Linked DNA regions of Caenorhabditis elegans. The protein of the gene in region 3 purifies or fractionates together with the protein of the main gene of each other region. This does not show direct contact. Each region holds a gene or a part of one and is shown on either strand. Other genes may lie near its edges. The genes, in order: pdhk-2, T05C1.2, F34D10.9 and herc-1.

Evidence for each region.
Region 1: the proteins of F34D10.9 (region 3) and pdhk-2 fractionate together in Caenorhabditis elegans (co-fractionation; one large-scale study listed by BioGRID). This does not show direct contact.
Region 2: the proteins of F34D10.9 (region 3) and T05C1.2 fractionate together in Caenorhabditis elegans (co-fractionation; one large-scale study listed by BioGRID). This does not show direct contact.
Region 4: the proteins of F34D10.9 (region 3) and herc-1 fractionate together in Caenorhabditis elegans (co-fractionation; one large-scale study listed by BioGRID). This does not show direct contact.

The regions. Positions count from the first base shown.
Region 1 is NC_003281.10:8,737,148-8,743,189, reverse strand, and holds pdhk-2 (putative [pyruvate dehydrogenase (acetyl-transferring)] kinase, mitochondrial), read left to right. Parts: upstream 1-1,777; coding exon 1,778-1,845; intron 1,846-2,072; coding exon 2,073-2,327; intron 2,328-2,435; coding exon 2,436-2,622; intron 2,623-2,672; coding exon 2,673-2,776; intron 2,777-3,616; coding exon 3,617-3,752; intron 3,753-4,017; coding exon 4,018-4,116; intron 4,117-4,509; coding exon 4,510-4,617; intron 4,618-4,898; coding exon 4,899-5,147; 3' UTR 5,148-5,504; downstream 5,505-6,042. Other genes in the region: nssp-33 (DUF19 domain-containing protein), read left to right, coding at 1-45, 410-484, 534-653, 1,039-1,101. UniProt on the Caenorhabditis elegans protein: Inhibits the mitochondrial pyruvate dehydrogenase complex by phosphorylation of the E1 alpha subunit, thus contributing to the regulation of glucose metabolism. Required for normal lifespan.
Region 2 is NC_003280.10:4,480,433-4,484,074, reverse strand, and holds T05C1.2 (Protease III), read left to right. Parts: upstream 1-1,953; 5' UTR 1,954-1,960; coding exon 1,961-2,007; intron 2,008-2,280; exon of another isoform or gene 2,281-2,281; coding exon 2,282-2,354; intron 2,355-2,936; coding exon 2,937-3,050; 3' UTR 3,051-3,132; downstream 3,133-3,642. Other genes in the region: T05C1.1 (Activin_recp domain-containing protein), read right to left, coding at 3,307-3,493.
Region 3 is NC_003281.10:3,726,185-3,731,272, forward strand, and holds F34D10.9 (CPSF_A domain-containing protein), read right to left. Parts: upstream 3,437-5,088; 5' UTR 3,387-3,436; coding exon 3,372-3,386; intron 3,325-3,371; coding exon 2,904-3,324; intron 2,430-2,903; coding exon 2,123-2,429; intron 2,074-2,122; coding exon 1,960-2,073; intron 1,648-1,959; coding exon 1,504-1,647; intron 1,454-1,503; coding exon 1,352-1,453; intron 1,051-1,351; coding exon 835-1,050; intron 788-834; coding exon 719-787; intron 673-718; coding exon 597-672; 3' UTR 525-596; downstream 1-524. Other genes in the region: gldi-5 (Chondroitin proteoglycan 4 domain-containing protein), read right to left, coding at 1-161, 203-314; evl-18 (Cell division control protein 45 homolog), read right to left, coding at 3,917-4,073, 4,120-4,318; F34D10.8 (uncharacterized protein), read left to right, coding at 4,673-4,765, 4,924-4,992.
Region 4 is NC_003279.8:1,209,865-1,214,495, reverse strand, and holds the start of herc-1 (HECT domain-containing protein), read right to left. Parts: upstream 3,012-4,631; 5' UTR 3,002-3,011; coding exon 2,908-3,001; intron 1,923-2,907; coding exon 1,723-1,922; intron 710-1,722; coding exon 517-709; intron 1-516. Other genes in the region: nsun-2 (tRNA (cytosine(34)-C(5))-methyltransferase), read right to left, coding at 3,491-3,634.

The DNA.
Region 1 (6,042 bases), 5.0 Mb from region 3:
TCTGGTCAACCATTATTTCAGAAACATGCCGGATGTTTTGCAGAGGTACTGCCACAGTTTCACTTGTTATTCTGAAGATAGACACACTTTAGACACAACACTTTTAATCGTATATTATAAAAAATCACAAACTGGTTTAAAAAAAGTTGGTATAAACTAAGTACAGTATTCGGCAAAAGAAACTTTAGAATATTTCTAATTTGGAAAGAGTCTGGACAACTGTTTTAAAAAAATAACTGTCATAACTTGATCAATTGATTGGTTAAAAGAGTATCAGAAAGACAGTTGTCTAGAATTTTTCTACAATTTAAGTTTCTACTCTTTTGTGATTGACAACATTTTTGCATCTACAAATAATGTTGTGACACTCTTCGTCTTCTTCAACAAAGTTACAGTAATCAAATTTAAGGTCGAAGCCCAAAAAGAGTATATCAGCTGTAAGATAGCAGCCACTCAAGCAATTTCTGAAGCACAAGGAGCAAAAGTGAGTTCATTTTGTTTCATGTTTTGAGTAGATCAAGTATGAGATTCAGGGATCATCAACAGAAGCGTATTTGACTGAAATGTGTCGAGCGATGGATGGATATTTGAGATGTTCTCATCCAATTATTTTGGCAAAGTGTGGTTCCGATGCATGGACATTAGTTTCTACTGTATGTTTATCAAGGGCAAAATTGTTTTTTTAATTCTCAAAATTTGGCATTTCAAGATGTTTTTCTTTTTCTTAAAAAATTCTGATCTTTTTCGATCTAGTTAAGAAGAGTAATTTTTTCGAAAAACCAAGAAATTCCAAAAAGCGTTCCTACAACCATCATTAGTTTAAAAAAAAACATATTTTTGATCAGTTTGGCAGATTTCAAGTAATGATAAATGCACTGAATAAGTTTCAGATCTACTTTTTGCCAGATTAAAGTGCTCTAGGGCACGCCCCTAACGTTTTTGTTGGGTACTATTTGAAAATTGGTCATTTTCCAAATAAGATCAATAACTTTCCTTGTGCAAAAAATCCCGTATTATTGAAATATCAGCTAATTTCAGGTGACACGTGACAGTCTTGGTGTGACAATGCCCAATTGTGACATGCATTCTGCATTATTCTAATCTCTACAACGAGTAGTTCATTTTTTCTTCTCAACTTTCTGTATACTGGTTCTGGTTCACACACTTTTTCTGGCATTGCAATTTGTTTTTACTTACTTTAATTTATTTAAATCTTGTGAAATTTGAGGCGCAATAAATAAATATTCGTAATGTTAATTTGCAATATAATTCGTTGTTAACTCAAAAATACGGTACCCCGGTCTCGACACGACCCGAACCGACGCCTTTAACGAGTACAGTAGTAATCGACATTAAAAAAATTTAAAAAAAACTTTCGGTTACAAAAAAGCATTTATAATGGCAAAATAGTGAAGTAAGTCAGTGACATCAATAATTATTTTAAACTATTGTTTTTAACGCTGGCTTTTCTTCAAAAAGCTCAAATTCCCATATTTGTAATTTTAAACTACCGCCGTAAACTTGAATTGCGCAAGACACTGAATTGCGTCAGTGTCCGCCTTGGCGCATCCCTCGATTTTCATCGCATCGGCCGAACTCGAAGCGAGATGGGAGGAGGAGATTGCCGACGTGCAATTTATACTCTCTGTTTCACTTTTTTTCAATATTCCATAATTTTCTCAATGCGGCAGCGTAAACAACGTATTTCTCTTGATTGTCCCACTTTGTACTTTCTCGTTTTCATTTCAAAAATAGAAAAAAACAAATTAATTTTCAGATGCGCTTTTCGCGGAAGTTACTAGGCCCTTTCGTGGGTTCATTGGCCAAGAAACTCGATTATTATAGGTAATAATATTTGTTTCAGCTTTAAAAACCAGGAGATTATGAAAAGTATCGTTTTTAATATTGGAATCGATGGCCTTTGTTCTCTGCCCGGTCTGTTTGTTCCAGGGAAAACTAGTTTTTGTTTATTTTTAGCCGGCTAAGGCGTCGTTTTTTTTTTATTTTTCTGCACTGTTGAGTGAATTTTGATCTTGTTTCGATGAAAAATTCAATATAAAGTTATTTTTCAGTCAATTTCAACCTTCATCACTTACAATTCAACAATATTTGGATTTCGGTCGAATAGGAACATCAGCAAATTCATACACATTTTTGAAAAATGAGCTTCTCGTTCGTTTGGCGAATATTATGCAGGAATTCACACTTCTTCCACCAAAGCTTCTTCAAATGCCAAGTTCAAAAATGGTATCAAATTGGTATGCTGAGAGTTTCGAGGATCTTCTTTTGTTCGAGGCATCTGATTCATCTCCAGAGCAAGTTGCAAGGTAAGAGAAAAAATTGAATACCTAATTTACAAAAAAAAACTTGATTTTTTGGTTTTAAAAGTTTAGAAATACATTTTTAAAATATTAATGTTAATTTATGTTTTTCAGATTCAATGATCAGTTAACAGTCGTACTGAAAAGACACGCACATGTCGTCGAAACAATGGCTGAAGGATTGATTGAACTTCGAGAATCGGATGGAGTAGATATTGCAAGTGAAAAAGGAATTCAATATTTCTTGGATCGATTTTACATCAACAGAATTTCCATTCGTATGCTTCAAAATCAACATCTGGTAAGTTATTTTAAAAATTTTAATATTTTCAAATAAAACATTTTTTCCAGGTTGTATTCGGAAATGTTCTCCCAGAAAGTCCTCGTCATGTTGGATGTATTGATCCTGCCTGTGATGTGGAAAGTGTAGTGTACGATGCTTTTGAAAATGCTCGGTGAGTGCAAGTTGATGATAAAATTGCCTAGAAATTAAAGAAATAAGCCGATAAAAGTCCAAAGTTTCACCAGAAAATGTTCTAAAATTTTTTTTTTGAGATTGATGTTCAAGGCCCTCAGCAATACCTTCCATTTCTTCATTTTTTGCTTCTTTGCTAGAACTTCCGGCTCTTAATTCTTGCAGAAAATTGTGATAAATTAATTCTGAGTAAATTTTTCTCAAAAAATTTACGAAAAGTCAATAAATTTTAACAAAAATTTCCGTTGGACCGCTCTGGTCCTCATCAGGCCTTCTCAACTATACGAATGGCGTCTTTTGGGTTTTTGATAAGCTAGTTCTTCGCTGTCCGTCTGCGACGAAGATTGAATGTGCTGTGTCTCTGGGTGAGCACATAGTCGTCAGTTGTCATTTGAGCCTGAAAACATAGTTCATTCTCTCTACCACCACTGCCCATTCAACCTTTCTTCCGTGCAGGGAGTGTTCTTTGAGATGGAGAGGGATGACGTTTGATTTTTTAAAACGCGTGTGATTTCGGGCAAACCTGATCATTTCAAAGAACGAAAATATGAATTAGAGGGATAAGGAGGAAAATATGCAATTTTGATTTAGAAAATTTCCGTGGGAGTTTTATTCTGATCTTTTACAAAATTATCATAGAAAATTTGATTTGAGGGTTAAAAAAACACAAAAAAATTTTTAATGATTTTTTTCACTTTTGCAAAAATAAAGGAACGGCTGAAACTATTTCACCTGAAATTTAGCGACATGATTTTAATCGGAAAAACTTAAAAAAAAACAGAAAAAGCTAATATTTTCATATAATAATTTTTTGTTACAGATTTCTATGTGATCGATACTACTTGACAAGTCCATCAATGAAGCTTGAAATGCACAATGCCGTTGAAAAAGGAAAACCAATATCGATTGTCGCCGTACCAAGTCATCTCTATCACATGATGTTCGAACTGTTTAAGGTTAGCTATGAAGATACGAATTAAAAAAAAGACGACGCCTCTTCATCACTTCAATGTAACAAAGTGCCTTTTTGAACGCACACACTTCTTCCCCACGTGCTGTTGCAGTTTTGATACTAAAAAAACGATAGAAAAAGAGAGATAAGAGATGAAAATGATAAGAGAATTGGAAAAAGAGGAATTAAAAAAGGAAACGATTAAGTTGAAAGTAGAAAGAACAGAAAAATGTGTATGGAGGGGTTTTCAAATTCTCTTTTTTTTACAGAATGCAATGAGAGCGACAGTTGAATATCATGGAGTTGATGATGATCTTCCAGATATTAAAGTTTATGTAGTCAAAGGACAAGAGGATTTATCTATTAAGGTATTGAATTATTGATTGGTTTCGAAAATCAGTCGTATTTTATTTAAAATTACTGTACATTTTGGTGAGGTTCTGTGGATTTTTGCCCTAAATTACAGAAGACAGTCTCAATATACTGAGTATCATTTTTTTTAATTTAAAGAATTTTTTCTAAATTTTATGGAATTGTTTTACTTTTTAGAGATTGTAAAACATTTTTTAAACAATTTTTTAGAGTCTAAAAAATACTAAACTTTCTTTTAATTTTTTTGTCAAAAATTTTTTTTTTAAGTTACTGGAAAAATTCTAGCATATGTATATACAGTTATTGAAAAATTCGAATGTTTTATTTTAAAATAAAATTGGTTTTTTTTTGCAATTTTTGCCGCAGGTTTCAAATATTTTCTTTTACAGATTTGTGATCGTGGAGGAGGTGTATCCAGAACTATTCTCGAACGTCTCTACAACTACATGTACTCAACAGCTCCACCACCGCCACGTGATGGAACACAAGCTCCTTTGGTAAGTATTTTGAAAGTAAAAATAAACAAAAACAATGGACCAAAAATTTATATTTGTGAAAAACCAAAAAACAACAATAAAACCATTATAAATCACATTTTGTTTCAAAAAAAATTTCAAAGCCAATTTTTGATCAAGTTATAGAAGTTTTAAGAGTTTTTTTTTTGAAAAAAACCAGTATTTAAAAGTTTTCTAATTTTTCGAAAATAAGTTGAATTTTTAATAACTAGAGTCCAGATTCATACTGTATGGTTTATATTTTTAAAAATCGAGATTTTTAGGCTGGTTACGGATACGGACTGCCACTATCTCGACTATACGCTCGGTATTTCCTTGGTGACCTCTTTTTGGTTTCCATGGAAGGACATGGAACGGATGCATGTATCTACTTGAAAGCTGTACCAGTTGAGGCTAGTGAAGTACTCCCAATTTATAGTACTTCTTCGCGTCGAAATTTGACAATGGGACCACAAGTAGCTGATTGGTCGCATCATGTTCCTGGTCAAGGAAATCGTCCAGCTCAATCATGATCGTACTCGAGTTTTTTGTATTTATTGCTCTTTTTTTGTAAGTTGTGAATATATTCTAGCCATTCATTTTATTCGTCTTTTTACTTCTACTGTTCTCCGTTTCTGTCTATCCGGTGTCCATCAAATCCCGAGAATTCTGTTGTATATAAAACATTTCTAGCAAAATTATTTGTTTTCTTTCTGAAACTTCTTCTAGCTCTACTCTTTCTCGGACATTTTTTTTGTATATAATCGTTTGTAGGTGCGATGGGCTCTATTCTTCTTCTTTTTCTTCTCTCCCCGTATTTCACGAGTTCGTTGTGATTTGAAATCCCTCCCGAATTAGACTCACAACTTTGGAATAAATCATTCAAACTCATACATTTGAATTTGACAAGTTTGTGGAAAAAAGAAGAGAAGATTCTTCTTTCCATCTTTTTCTTCCATGACAAAACAATTTAATTTTCGCGCTGCGCACTCGGCGACGACTACTAGGATGAGAAGCTGACGATGTGCCATGGAAATCTTGGTGTTTTTGTGAGCGCCTTTTCACATTTGAATGCTTCCATGGAGTTCAATTGAGAACATAGATGTGCGGCACATTAAAAAATCTCCTTTTCTGGAAATTTATATAGAATTATCTGTACTTTTTGCTATCTTCAGAAAGTGCAAATATTTCTCTGTTTCTATACTTTTCTGTTTAGGCGCTTTCTTTGTTGTTTGAAATGTTTTTTTTTTAAATATTTTAAGCTACTATACGAGTTTTCAAATATTTTTTAAATAAAAATTATAACTTTTAAATTAATTGAAACTATTTCTTTGACGAAAAGTCCAGCTCTGAATTGATTCAAAAAACTTTAAAAAGCTACAAAAATGGCGCTGGCACAGAAAAGTGGGCGTGGTTTAGACATGCAAG
Region 2 (3,642 bases), on a different chromosome or scaffold from region 3:
TTTCTGAAAAATAATATCATATAGTCTCGAGGAAAGGCATTTGCTTTCAGCTTATGTATATGTTGCTTTGTGTTTTTTTTTCTGTTTTTGCTCTGTTTTTCAATTTTCAGCCTGACTGCCGGAGAAGCTGAGAATATATTCAATTAATTGAAAAAAATAGGGAGAGTCTTAGGTCTATGCATTTTAACACCTGGAAAATAATTTAAACGGGAGAAAGTTTTAAAAAAATTAAACTTGATATGTAGGCGCAAAAATGGAAGGTAGGTAGACAGACAGGTCAGTAGGCAGTCCTGTAGGCATGTAAGGCTTAGAGAGTCAAATATGAGACAGGAACATACAGACAAATTCAGGAATGAGAAAGACACGTAACCAGGCAGGTGCTAGGCAGGCACTAAAGCAGTTAGGAATGAGAAACACAAGTAGGTCTGCAGGTAGGCGAATTGTAATGAGGTAACTTGAAAAGCTTTTATGACGGAGTTCAGTGTACGAAAACAAGCATCGGCGAAGGTAATCAGCCATGTAGGCAGGTAGGCATGCTTGCGGGCTCGTAGGCGGGCAGGTAGGTAAGCAGGGATATATATATATATGTAGATTTTTTTTCTTTTGAAGATCTTTAGCAAAACAGCTTGTTGTTTTCCTATAGGTACAACCAATTCCAATTCGCTTCTCTGAATTTTTCATTAGCCACCCCACTTGACATTTTGAGCTGCCACACACACCAAAAATGGTTATTTTTCAGCACCGAGACGAGGGTGCGTTCTCTCATGTTTTTTTGAGCACTTATCGCTTTACGATCACTCATTTTTCCCCCATCATTCTTCTCAAATGTTCCTTTTTTTGAAGGACAGTCGGTTCCGGGTTAGGATATATATTTTTGTTTTGTTTTTCTGGAAGTACATGCACCGTGGTTCTTGCCAAAATTTTCAGAAAATCTGAAGCTAAATTCTAGAAATTTTTATTCGACAGTTGAGATTTGAATCATTGTTTAAAATCCCCAAAAGAAAAACCGCAAATATCCTCTATAAGGCAGATCTACACAATTCTCAAATAATACCCAGCTGATAATTGTTAGTTTTTGTTCCAAAAATAAATATATATGTGCAGGTACATGTCATATAATAAAATGCTAAGACGGATCTGACAACTCAGGATTTAAATCATCTTTTGCGCGGGAACTAGGTCAGATTAAGAGTGATGTAGATTTGAGCTGGATTTGCCCGTATTTGGTGTGTTTTTAGTGGTTGCTCGGGGAGCAAGTATGAATTTGGATATTTTAGAATTAGCATATATTTAATCGGACCCCGTTAGGCAGACCTGATGCCTTCAAGATGCCTATACGTACAAGCGTGCCTGCTTGCAAGTTATGCGTCTTTTCAGACTAAACAAAGTTCATTGCATTTTTGAAAATCAATTCGTGACTACAAAAAAACGTGTTTCACGGCTTGACAGATAAACTCTGCAATCCAGCTCAAACTCACATCATTTTTTCCGAATCTTTTTTGATCTACTTCCCGCCCAATTTTTAAGATGTTTATATAGGTAGGATTGTTTCAAAGTTAGAGAGCAAAAGCTTCATATTTTCAAATTGTTAATTTCGGTTTTGGTCACTGGAACCAAACGGACCAAACTAGTAGTACTTGTAATTAAAAATAATTGATCGAATTTTTTCCCATTTCCTAGACTTCCTCATTTTCTTTCTTTTTGCCTTCCGATTAATCCCATCATGATGTGCATTTTTAGAAGTAAGACACCGAAAAAATTGGCAACTTTTGAGAGAAAATAGTAGCTTTTAGAGTTTTTAATTTACATATAGCGTTCGTCATGTCTCGGTGAGATTAGTATTCATATAGACAAGTATTTTTGGATTTGATTTTTGTATTTTCTTTCTTGCGGAATGTTATTTTACTCCTTAAAATTAAACTATTTCAATCATAAAAATGGTGTCTTTTTTCAGAAAAAAATGGCCTCGCAACAAGACGCCTCTCCACCAACAGGTTACAACATGGGGTAGGTTTTGGAACATTGAAAAGGCTGGCGTTCAAGCCTACGTGCCTACCTCGTGCCTACCTGGCGTAAACTTTGCAAGTAGGCATGAGGCAGGCAGGCAGTGAAAATTGTGAAAAAAAAAACAAATTTTCTTTAAAATTGTGCGAGTCAATTGCGGCGTCGCGTCTTAATAATTCTTCGAATCTTTCACACTTTGTTTTTTCTAAGAAGTTTGTCTGAGAAGCTTCTTCTTTAGAATCTTCAGTATAATAAAAAATAATTATCATATTTCCAGACATCGCCACTCGTTAACCATTGAGACCAATCCACTGCACTTGTTGCCGTCCAATATGCGACGTTTCTCCCAGGTGATTTTTTGAAACAAAGTCTAATTTTTAGTTTCGGAAACATTACTGAAATATTATCGAAATGATTCAGACATCTGAGAAATTTTTAGGGGGTTTGGGCCTCAAATAGATTTTTTTGGATTTTTCGGTTAAGAAAATTATCCTGCAAACTCACTCTATAGAGTAAAAAATACGAGAGTTAGATAAGTTTGTTCGGCAAATGCAGGCCAGCAATTCTTAAAAATTGGACAAAATGTGTCAATATTTTACATTCAATTTTGATAATAAAAAATGAAAAATATGTGCTTTATTTGAAAATAGCTTTGAGTTTAGTTGGAGCAATTAAAAAATGTAAAAAAAAACTGTAAAACTGCCTGAAAGTTGGAATTTGTCGGGAAAAAGTTTGATAGTTTTTAATTTTTTAAACTAAAATGAAAGCTATTTTAAAATAAAGAAAAAATTATTCTATTTACTATAATATAATTTTTATGACAAAAATTAGGAAAACATGGTGCAATATGACATTTTGAAGAATTTCTGGTCGGCACTTCAATAGCCCAGCTATTGAAAATCATATTTTATCAACAAATCTTCCGTTTTCAGGCCGACACTGCCCGTCATCCAGCAGCTCCTTTGCTCTCAAAACTCGCCGCCAGACAACAAATCCCTGAAGCAGTAGCCGAGAAAAAAGACGACGAGAAGCCAGAAAACAAGTGATTTTTTTCTGATCTCTGAACATTGTGTATTGTATATTTAAATTTCAATTCTCCAAATATTCAATTAATCTTCTTTTCTTATAGTTTCATTTATTCAAAGAAAAAAAACAAAACAAAAAATAACAAAAAAAAAGACGAAAAACACCGGAATTGGAAGGATTGAATGCATGGGAAGTTTGGAGAATGCGGAGCGGATGGCTAGTAAATATGTACATGGAATGTTTTTTGGAGGGGATTTTTGGAAAAGGGAAATAGAATCACAAGAGATTTTTAAGAAGAATTGGAATTAGTGCAACAATGAAAAGCTTCCAGCTTCCTGTTGAATTCGGGTCCCGGTTTTGGGTTCCGTCAGTTGTAAGATTTCTGTTCGATGGGTTCAACTTTGGTGGTGAGGCTTCTTGGGTGACCTTGGTAACTTCGACGCTTCCGTGGCCGGGTGTGAAGCTGGAAATAGGACTAGTTTAATGCGGTCAATTAAATTATGGCGGAAATAAGCGGAAATAATAAATCTAACTGTAAAAGTCGAGTTGAGGGACAGGTTTTGAGAGCAGATAATTTTCAATTTTGGATAAAAACATTTTTTTAAATAAGAT
Region 3 (5,088 bases):
CATATCGCGACACATTGCCTTCATCGTTTCCGGGTTCTTAGCGGCATCGAAAAGTGCACCGATGTTGTCCAAAGCAGGCATACACCGTCGGAGGCAAGATGGCATATCAAATGAAGTGAACAGTTTCGTCAGGTTCATTGAACTCGTACCCTGAAAAGAACCTTCAGCGAGATTTATAGAGATAACAATAATCAGTACATACCGAGAATCTTGGTGACAATGTTAGCGGAATCATTAGCAATATCGTGAATTGTTGGATCCGAGTCGATTCCTATGATTAGTAGAACTGTTACGGAGTAAAAGCAGAGACGCATGCCTGTAAAAATATAAATATTTTTAACAATTAATTATAAATTCAATACTTTAAACATGATTTAAACAAAAAGATTCAGCGAGAAAAAATAATATTTTCGGTAACAATAGTTTTGACGAGCGCGCTCGCAATGTGGTTTTTCGCGGCGAGACCTACACATGCCAAATGGGTGTTACCGTAGTTTAAAAAAAAAAATTATATTTGAATATTTGAAATACAGCAAATTCATTGTAAGTTCTCATCGATAAAAGTTCAAATAGGGTTAGTAGAGGGTTTCCAGATATTATATGCTCCACATCCAATCAATAACACCGGTCAAACGTCTCAATAAACTTGACTTTTCGAATGATGGAAAGTTCCTGTAATAATCTAAATCATAAAATTGAAGATTTCACTAGATATTACCTGTATGCTGAATAAGTTGCTAGCTGTGCCAATGATTGAGGTTTCATAGGATTTCGGTAATAGCTTAATCTATAAAAAAAAGAATTTGAATTAAATCGATAAAACGAGCAACTTACTCCATCTCTCGGCTCTTTTCAGTGGGATGATCAAGTACAAGAGCTCCACCATCAGAATCTACATCAAATCCCATTGCAAACTCCGTTTCGTTAGGATCCATCTTGCTTTTCAGAACTCGAGCCGAATGCTCATATCGGAAGAATCGACGACGATTGATATCAAGATAACACAAATGAAATTGTTTTTGCGGAGAATAGATAGGGATCATTGTTGGTCTGAAAATGACAAAAATTATTCATTCTTCATAGTGGAAAAGTTGCAAATTTTCAACAATACGGTATCAGGTCTCGAAACGACACATTCTTGTTAAATGCAAAAATATGTGCGCCTTTAAGGATTATTTACTGTAATTTTAAAATATCATTGCTGCGGAAATTTTGTTGTTGTTCTCACAATTTATTGAAATAAAACAGAAGAAAATTTTTGGCATATTGCTTAACGACCATTGTGCCTGAGATCGTGGCCAGACCCATTCACCACATTTTTGTAAAATTACAATATTGCCCAAGAACTAACCCGTGTAGAAACATAAAAAATCTTGTGAGACAGTGGAATGTGAACCCATTGTCGAATCTCCACAAGTACATACTTCCTTGAAATCCAATAACCATTAATCTCCTGAAATTTTGAAAATTCAGCTTGAAAATCATTTATTCAAAATCCTTTACAGCATAACTCCAACATAAAAATGCTTAAATCTCCAATACAAAGTGTTCAGCTTTTCAACATCTCTAACCGAGAAGGTCATCCAAACATTTCCACGTTTTGCTCTCATATTCACAATTGAAGTCACTATGAGAGGCTCACAAATTCTAAAAAAAATTACTTTCAATAATTATATTACCCAGGCGTGGAAGGTTGTGCCAAAAGTTCGGTACTCGGTCTCGCCACGGCAAAATTGTGTTAAATGCGAAAAAGTGTGCGCCTTTAAAAAACTGTAATTTGAAACTTTCGTTGTTGCTGATTAATATATTTATTAATAAATATCAATAAAAACTCAAATTTTAACAAATTCTGAAGCAGCAAGTTTGAAATTACAGTACTTAACAAAACTTATCGTGTCGAGACCGGGTGCAGTATAAAATTTCGCGTCTGTGTAATATTTAACTATATGTATAACATACGATAATGCAGAATTATCCAGTTGTTCAACTGAAAATGTGCCATCTTTTCGATTAATCATTCCCATAACGTTTGTGGCAAACACGGGCTCACTTTGAGGATCATCAGGATACACTCTAAATGCTAAAATATTAGAATTGAAAAGAATAATCCCAGCTTGCTCACTCTGAAAGTAGAACTGATATCTTTTCTTCATCGAGATGCAGTAGAAACAGACTAATCAAAGATTTAGCTTCAACATCTGATGGTCGAGAAGTGAGGAATTTATTGAAATCTTCCATCTGAAAATTTAATCTAAGTTTTCTGAATGATTTCCTTCTATATCTTGCCAGTGAGCTCAGATCCTCATCAGGTTTTGTGAAACAATTTAACGGATTTGCAGCGATATTTATTGTCATTCGTTCTTTGACACCTTCCACTGATGCTCTACCTCCACATAATAAGATTCTTCCTTTATCCAGAAAGCTGAGATCTGAAATTTTACTCAAAATGCCGAGATATCACAGAAATAAACGTGAAAAATTCCTTTGGTTTTGGCAAATTTGAATAGCCGCGCTTTTGTCTTCAAGCCACGCCCATTTTTCCGTGCCGCACTTCCGGTTTTCCCATTTTCTTCGCGGAACTCTACATAAATTATAATATATATTTTCTCATTTCGAAATCGACGTGCAAACGCGCTCCACGGCCACTTGAATGTGCTCCGCCTCTTTCAGATGGGTCTCGTTAGGAAATTGGCGGCAAAACAGTAGAAAGATTAGTTTCGCCAATTTCCAAGCATTTTTGCCGTTTTCACGTCGATTTCAAAAGCAAAAATCGGGAAAAACGTAAATCAACACAGAATTGTTACAAACGCAAGCACCGCGCGGAAATGTGGGCGTGGCTTAGAGGTCAATTCAAATTCGTCAGAATCAGAGGCATTTTTCAGATAAAAAACCGATTGACTCACTAACTAATGGGGGCCCAGACATTCTGCTAATAGTCAATCTTCTCACGACAATCGTCTGAGCCCATTCTTTCGAATGTTCCAGATGAATAAGTGTCTGTATAACTTGAAAATGCTCTGAATCGTAAGAAATCAGCGCGACAATATTATCCGAAATCATATAAAATTCAATAATTCGAGCGAGAAGAAGCGGATCAATATCGTCGTCAAGTTGGAACGTTTTTGTGTTTCCGGATGCCACGTGGTATTTGCAGATAGACTTTTCAGTTGCTGTAGTGATGACTTCTGGAGCTTGTTCCGGAGCTTCAACTATGCTCAATACGATGCGAACTTTAAGACCATAAAGAACACTTCCATCACGATTTACAGCAAGATATTGAGCTCCATCAAGACCATTCGGTGTTGAACTCACAAAATATGATTGCTAGAAAATCCTCAATTAATCAGGAAAATCGGCCAACTCGAACATACCTTATGCGTAGACATTTTCGAGTAGAAAAATGATAAGTGCGTAAATTTGAGACTAGATAAAATATAAAATAAATTAGTTTGAAGAAGTTGGAAGTTGATTTAATCAATCATCAGAAAAAAATCATCATCAGAAAAAAAATTACAATATGTTCACGTGAAAACTGATCAAAATAAAGTGAATATGTGACAATGAAATGAGAAGTGGAGAAGTAAATAGGGGAAATAATTTCAGAAATTGATAATAAAAATTAAACTCGGAAAGTCAGTGTGCCCGTGTATGAGAAAGATTGAACATTATAACAGTAGGAGGCAATTCTACAAAATAGCCTAATGCACCATGTTTTTCATTAAAAATTAGTGTCAAAATATAGAAAATCACTTGATTTATCACAGAAAACGCAGGAAAATCGCCTAAAAATGGCAGTTTCCAAGCCATTTTCAGCTATTTTCCGATAAATTAAGTAATGCTCTATATTTTAAGACTTTTTTTTTCATTAAAAGCATTGGAACAAGATGGTGCAATAGGTAGAAACGCCTGTAAGAGATCAGTTGGATGTGCCCTCAAAGACAGTCTGCAGAAAATCAATAAAACGAGTACGATCTTCAGATTTCAAGCGAATAATATCAGAATTAAAGTAGTCATCAACGATACGAAGTGGTGGAGTCATTTTCTTTACTCGTTCGAAAGCACGACCAATACACCTGAAAATAATCAATTTTAAAGTTAAAATTACAGGCCGAATATTACGTTTTAAGTAGTGAATCCTCATAAATTGTGGCAATCGGCATAACTCCAGTGACTACAAGCCATCCAGCACTCTCTCCAGTCAATGGGAACATTGCGATTAGCGGCTTTGTTGTACGTCCTTTCTTCATTGAGGCAAAGGCGCGAATCATGAATCCGGCGGTGTTGTAGAGAAAATGACGTGAGTCGACCATATCCTCGTCTGGAAATATATTTTTTAGACTATAAAAGTACTAAATTTTCTCACTAGTTTTCAATTTTTTCCCATCAACATCAACAAAATTTGATTTAAAAATTTAATGTTTTATTAATTTTCAAAATTTCTGATTTTCTCTGAAAACCCCAACCAAGACCCCAGACCAAAAGAGCAGATGTCCAAAAAGATTTTTACACGCGAAAAATTAATCTGTTCAAAAGAAATTATTTAAAAAATTCAAAACAAATGACGCGAGAAACGTGAAGCCTGATTTTTTTATTTCCCACTCTCCTTCAACTTTTTGAAACAAAATCAGTTCTCGTTAGTTCTAGTTATCGAAACTTGTGAAGAAGGTCTGCAATGGCTGCCGCAAAGAAATTGATGCCAAAGCGAATGAAGAAGAAGATGCAGGTGGAGAGAATGGCTCATGCCAGAGCTTGCAAGGTTGCAAAGGTAAGCATTTTGTTATTTGGAAACATTAGCTTCTCGGGGAATTCAGAATTTAATCAAAAAAATTGCGGGAATTCGAATTTGAGTTTTTTTCAAAAACCGCTTTGAGGATTTCTGAATTCAAAATTTCAACTAATTTTCCCATCAAAAATAAATTACAGAGAGAGGCTCGCGTCGCTGAGGAAGCATCTGGAAAATCAACTGGTGGATCTACTCGCGGAGCCAAGTGATAGCCGAGCCACAACACATGACCCCATCGAACTTCATCTTCTGATTATGCTAATAAAATGCTTAAAAATCGAGTTTTTATTTTCTCCGATTTGACT
Region 4 (4,631 bases), on a different chromosome or scaffold from region 3:
TGGTACAAAAATTATTAAAAGCAACAAAAAATGCTTCAAAATTAGCAAAAATTAGCAAAAAATTTCGCCGCCAATTCCTAACGAGACCCAACTTTTCTTTTGGCGTTGAAGCGGGATTACATTTTTATTTTTTATTTTCAAAAAAATCCAGCTTTCCGTTTTTGCAAATTATTCGAAAACAAATATTCCTTCAAAAGACGAAAAGTTTATTTTTCCTAAACTACAGTAATCCTACAGTACTACTACAGTACTCCTACAGTACCCCTACAGTACTACTACAGTACCCCGACCATATCCCCCCCACTAACCCCAAACCAATATCCATTCAAAAGAGAAAAAGTCAAATTTCCCTAAACTACAGTAATCCTACCGTACTCCTACAGTACCCCTACAGTACTACTACAGTACCCCGACCATATCCCCTTACTAAATTTTTCAATTTTTCAGGTTTTTGAGATACTTTTTGGACTTTTCCAGCAAAAATTTGAATTTTTTCACAAATTTCCAAATTTCTACCTTCATCCAACGCAATACAATGATTGGATCCAGACGCCACTTGTACAATATCATTAATCTCTTGAACACGTCGTGGTGTTCCCTGCCACGTGAATTTACTCTCCATTCCGAGTTGTCCGTGCTCATTGGAGCCCCAAGCGAAGACACGCCCATCGTCGGTTACGGAGACTGTGTGAGAACGGCCAGCAGAGATCTGAAAAATGGAATTTCTACGAGAAGGCGATCTATGGAAATTGGCTCTGCGAAAAGGAGATCCACGGAAAATGGATCTGAAGTAAGGGAATTTATGAAAAAAGCATCTACGAGAAGGTGATCAACCAGATGGGGATCTATGAGAAGGGGATCTGCGAGATTATTATTTTCGAAAATCGAATCTACGAAAGGGAGATTATACGGAAAGGCTATCTTTGAAAATGGGATCTACGAAAGGGGGAATTCTACGGAAATGGGATCTACGAGAAGGAGATCTACGGAGAGGGTAATTATGGAAAAAATCTACATTAAAGGCAAAAAGGGATCTATGGAAAATATATGTACAAAAAAGAGCATCTACGAAACGGAGATCTACGAGAAGAGAATCTACAAAAAAAGGGATCTGGGAGAAGAGGATCTAGGAATTAGCCATTCTACGAGAGGAGAATCTATGGAAAAGGATCTACAAAACGTCGTTCTGCGTAAAGGAGATCTCCGAGAAGGGAAGTCTATGGAAGGCAGATCTATGAAAAGAGAATTTACAAAAAAGAGAGCTGCGAGAAGGGTGATCTACGAAAAGAAGATCTACGGCAAAGGAATCTTCGAGAAGGGAGCTTGCACGAAACAGAGATCTACGAAACGGGAACCAAAATTAATTCTATGAGAAGGAGATTTACGAGAAGTGAATCTACCAAAAGAGTATCTGGGAGAAGAGGATCTAGAAATTTGCTATTCTACGAGAAGGGGATCAACAAGACGGAGATCTACGAAACGGGGATCTACGAGAAGAGAATTTACGCAAATGGGAACTATGGGAAGAGGATCTGCGAGATGGAAATCTAAGAAAAGGGGATTCCACGGAAAAAGAGTTTACAAAAATGAGATCTACGGGATTTTCTCGCCAAAAACTAGGGAAAAACGAAAAATTTTTTATTTTTCAAATGTTATTTAGCGAAAAAATATGGTAAAATCATTTTCTAATGGATTTTCGCCAAAAAAAAAACTCAAAGTTACCTGAATAATTTTCGCACTGCTTGTCCAAGAAACCGGATAAATCGAAAAAGAACCCTCAGTCCGACTGCCTCGTCCCAATTGTCCATCCATATTACTACCAACACTCCACATTTTGCCATCTTTTGTCAGGAATACTGTATGTTGTTCACCACACGTGACTGACGTCACTGCGGTTCCATCCATATCATTTGGAGCGCCAACTGAAATTTTGAACAATTTTCAGAGAAAATTCCGAGACGATTTTAAACTATTTTCACACAGTTTTTAAACAAATATTCAAAAAAAAAGAGTTTTTTAAAGATGCATACAATTTTGCTCCAAAGTAATCAATTTTTTTTCGTTAGGCAAATTGCCGATTTGCTGGAAATTTTCATTTTAGGCAAATTGCCGATTTGCCGGAAATTTTAATTTCTGGCTTTTTGCCGATTTGCCGGAATCTATCATTTTTGAAAAATTGCCGATTTGCCGGAATCTCTCATTTTCGGCAAATTGCCGATTTCCGGAAATTTTAAGTTCTGGCTTTTTGCCGGTTTGCCGGAATCTATCATTTTCGGCAAATTGCCGATTTGCCGGAAATTTTAATTTCTGGCTTTTTGCCGATTTGCCGGAATCTATCATTTTTGACAAATTGCCGATTTGCCGGAATCTCTCATTTTCGGCAAATTGCCGATTTCCGGAAATTTTAATTTTAGGCAAATTGTGGATTTGCAGAAAATTTTAATTTCTGGCTTTTTGCCGATTTGCCGGAATCTATCATTTTTGACAACTTGCCGATTTGCCGGAATCTTTCATTTTAGGAAAATTGCCGATTTGCCGGAACCTTTCATTTTAGGAAAATTGCCGATTTCCGGAACCTTTCATTTTAGGCAAATTGCCGATTTGCCGGAAATTTTCATTTTAGGCATATTGCCGATTTGCCGGAAATTTTCATTTTAGGCAAATTGTCGATATGCAGAAAATTTTAATTTCTGGCTTTTTGCCGGTTTGCCGGAATCTTCCATTTCCGGCAAAATGTCGGTTTGCCATTATTTCTTTAAAAAAGTTTTTTTTAAAGTTTTGTGAAAGATTTACAAAAATCTTCCAATTGTTTTTTTTTCATCCGAAATTTTTTAATTTTTAAAATTTAATTTCGGAATTAATTTTTTTTTCTGTTTTCTAATTTCTGCAACAAAAATAGCTCCGTACTAATTCTCTCGGGAACTTGAATCGTCGACTCGGAGAGCCGAACGCCGAGCTGTCCCTCGCCCGTGTGTCCACATCCGAGCAGCTCAGCTCGCATTTTCTGAAATCTGATTTTTTTAACAATTAAATTTTAAAAAAACAATCTAGAAAATATCATAGTGTGATCTCAACAACTTTAGTTTTTGAAGCAGTATCAGAGGAAAAAATCTGAAAAAAAAATTCAAATTTTTTCAAAAAAAAAAATCAAATAACAACTGCAACAACAATAAAGGGAACACGTTGTGACAGAATGTCTCATTTCGGTTTGATCTACCTAGATCTACAAAAAATGCGGGAGTTGAGACGCAGAGTTCTCAACTGATTTTGCACGATTAAAAACGTGCTGACGTCACAGTTTTTTGGGGAAAAATTCCCGCATTTTTTGTAGATCAAACAGAAATGAAACACTTTGGCACCACGTGAGGGAACAAAAAAAAATCGGTGGCCGAGTTTTTTCCACACGGCCACGTAGCAGAATTTATAACTGTGTAGGGGATAAATGGAGATAAATTAAAGGAGAAAAAAGAGATAACAAAAAAAAAACAAATTATTCAGTCATTTCTTGAACATTTTCTTCTGGAATTTCCAGAGTTTCAGCAGATTCTGGAGCATCAGTTGAGCTGCTGGACGGCTCCGCAGCCTTTGCGGCTTCTTCCTTGCGAGCCCACGCGGCTTCACGGTCTTGGGCGGCCTGAAAAATTGATTTTTTGGACAAAAATTTAACTTATTTCTCATGAAATTACTAACAATTTGTGAAAACTTCCAAAAAAATTTAGTTAAACTTTTTTATTAGTTTTTTTTCTTCAATTTTCAAATTATCCTATTTTTCTAAAAATAACAATTTTCCGGAAATTCTAATTTCTGGCAATTCGCCGGTTTGCTGATTTGCCGAAAATTCTAATTTCTGGCAATTTGCCAGTTTGCTGATTTGCCGGAAATTCTAATTTCTCGCAATTTGCCGATTTGCCGGAAAATTAAAATTCTGGCAATTTGCAGAAAATTTGATTTCTGGCAATCTGGCGGTTTGCCGATTTGCCGGAAATTTTAATTTCTGGCAATTTGCCAATTTGCCGGAGATTTTAATTTCTGGCAATTTGTCAGTTTGTTGATTTGCCGAAAATTCTAATTTCTGGAAATTTGCCGGCTTGCCGATTTGCCGAAAATTCTAATTTCTGGAAATTTGCCGGCTTGCCGATTTGCCGAAAATTCTAATTTCTGGCAATTTGCCGGTTTGCTGATTTGCCGAAAATTCTAATTTCTGGCAATTTGCCGATTTGCCGGAGATTTTAATTTCTGGCAATTTGTCAGTTTGCTGATTTGCCGGAAATTCTAATTTCTGGCAATTTGCCGGTTTGCTGATTTGCCGAAAATTCTAATTTCTGGCAATTTGCTGATTTGCCGGAGATTTTAATTTCTGGCAATTTGTCAGTTTGTTGATTTGCCGAAAATTCTAATTTCTGGCAATTTGCCGGCTTGCCGATTTGCCGAAAATTCTAATTTCTGGCAATTTGCCGGTTTGCTGATTTGCCGGAAATTCTAATTTCTGGCAATTTGCCGGTTTGCTGATTTGCCGGAAATTCTAATTTCTGGCAATTTGCCGGCTTGCCGATTTGCCGGAAATTCTAATTTCTGGCAATTTGCCGGTTTGCTGATTTGCCGGAAATTCTACTATCTGGCAATTTGCTGAT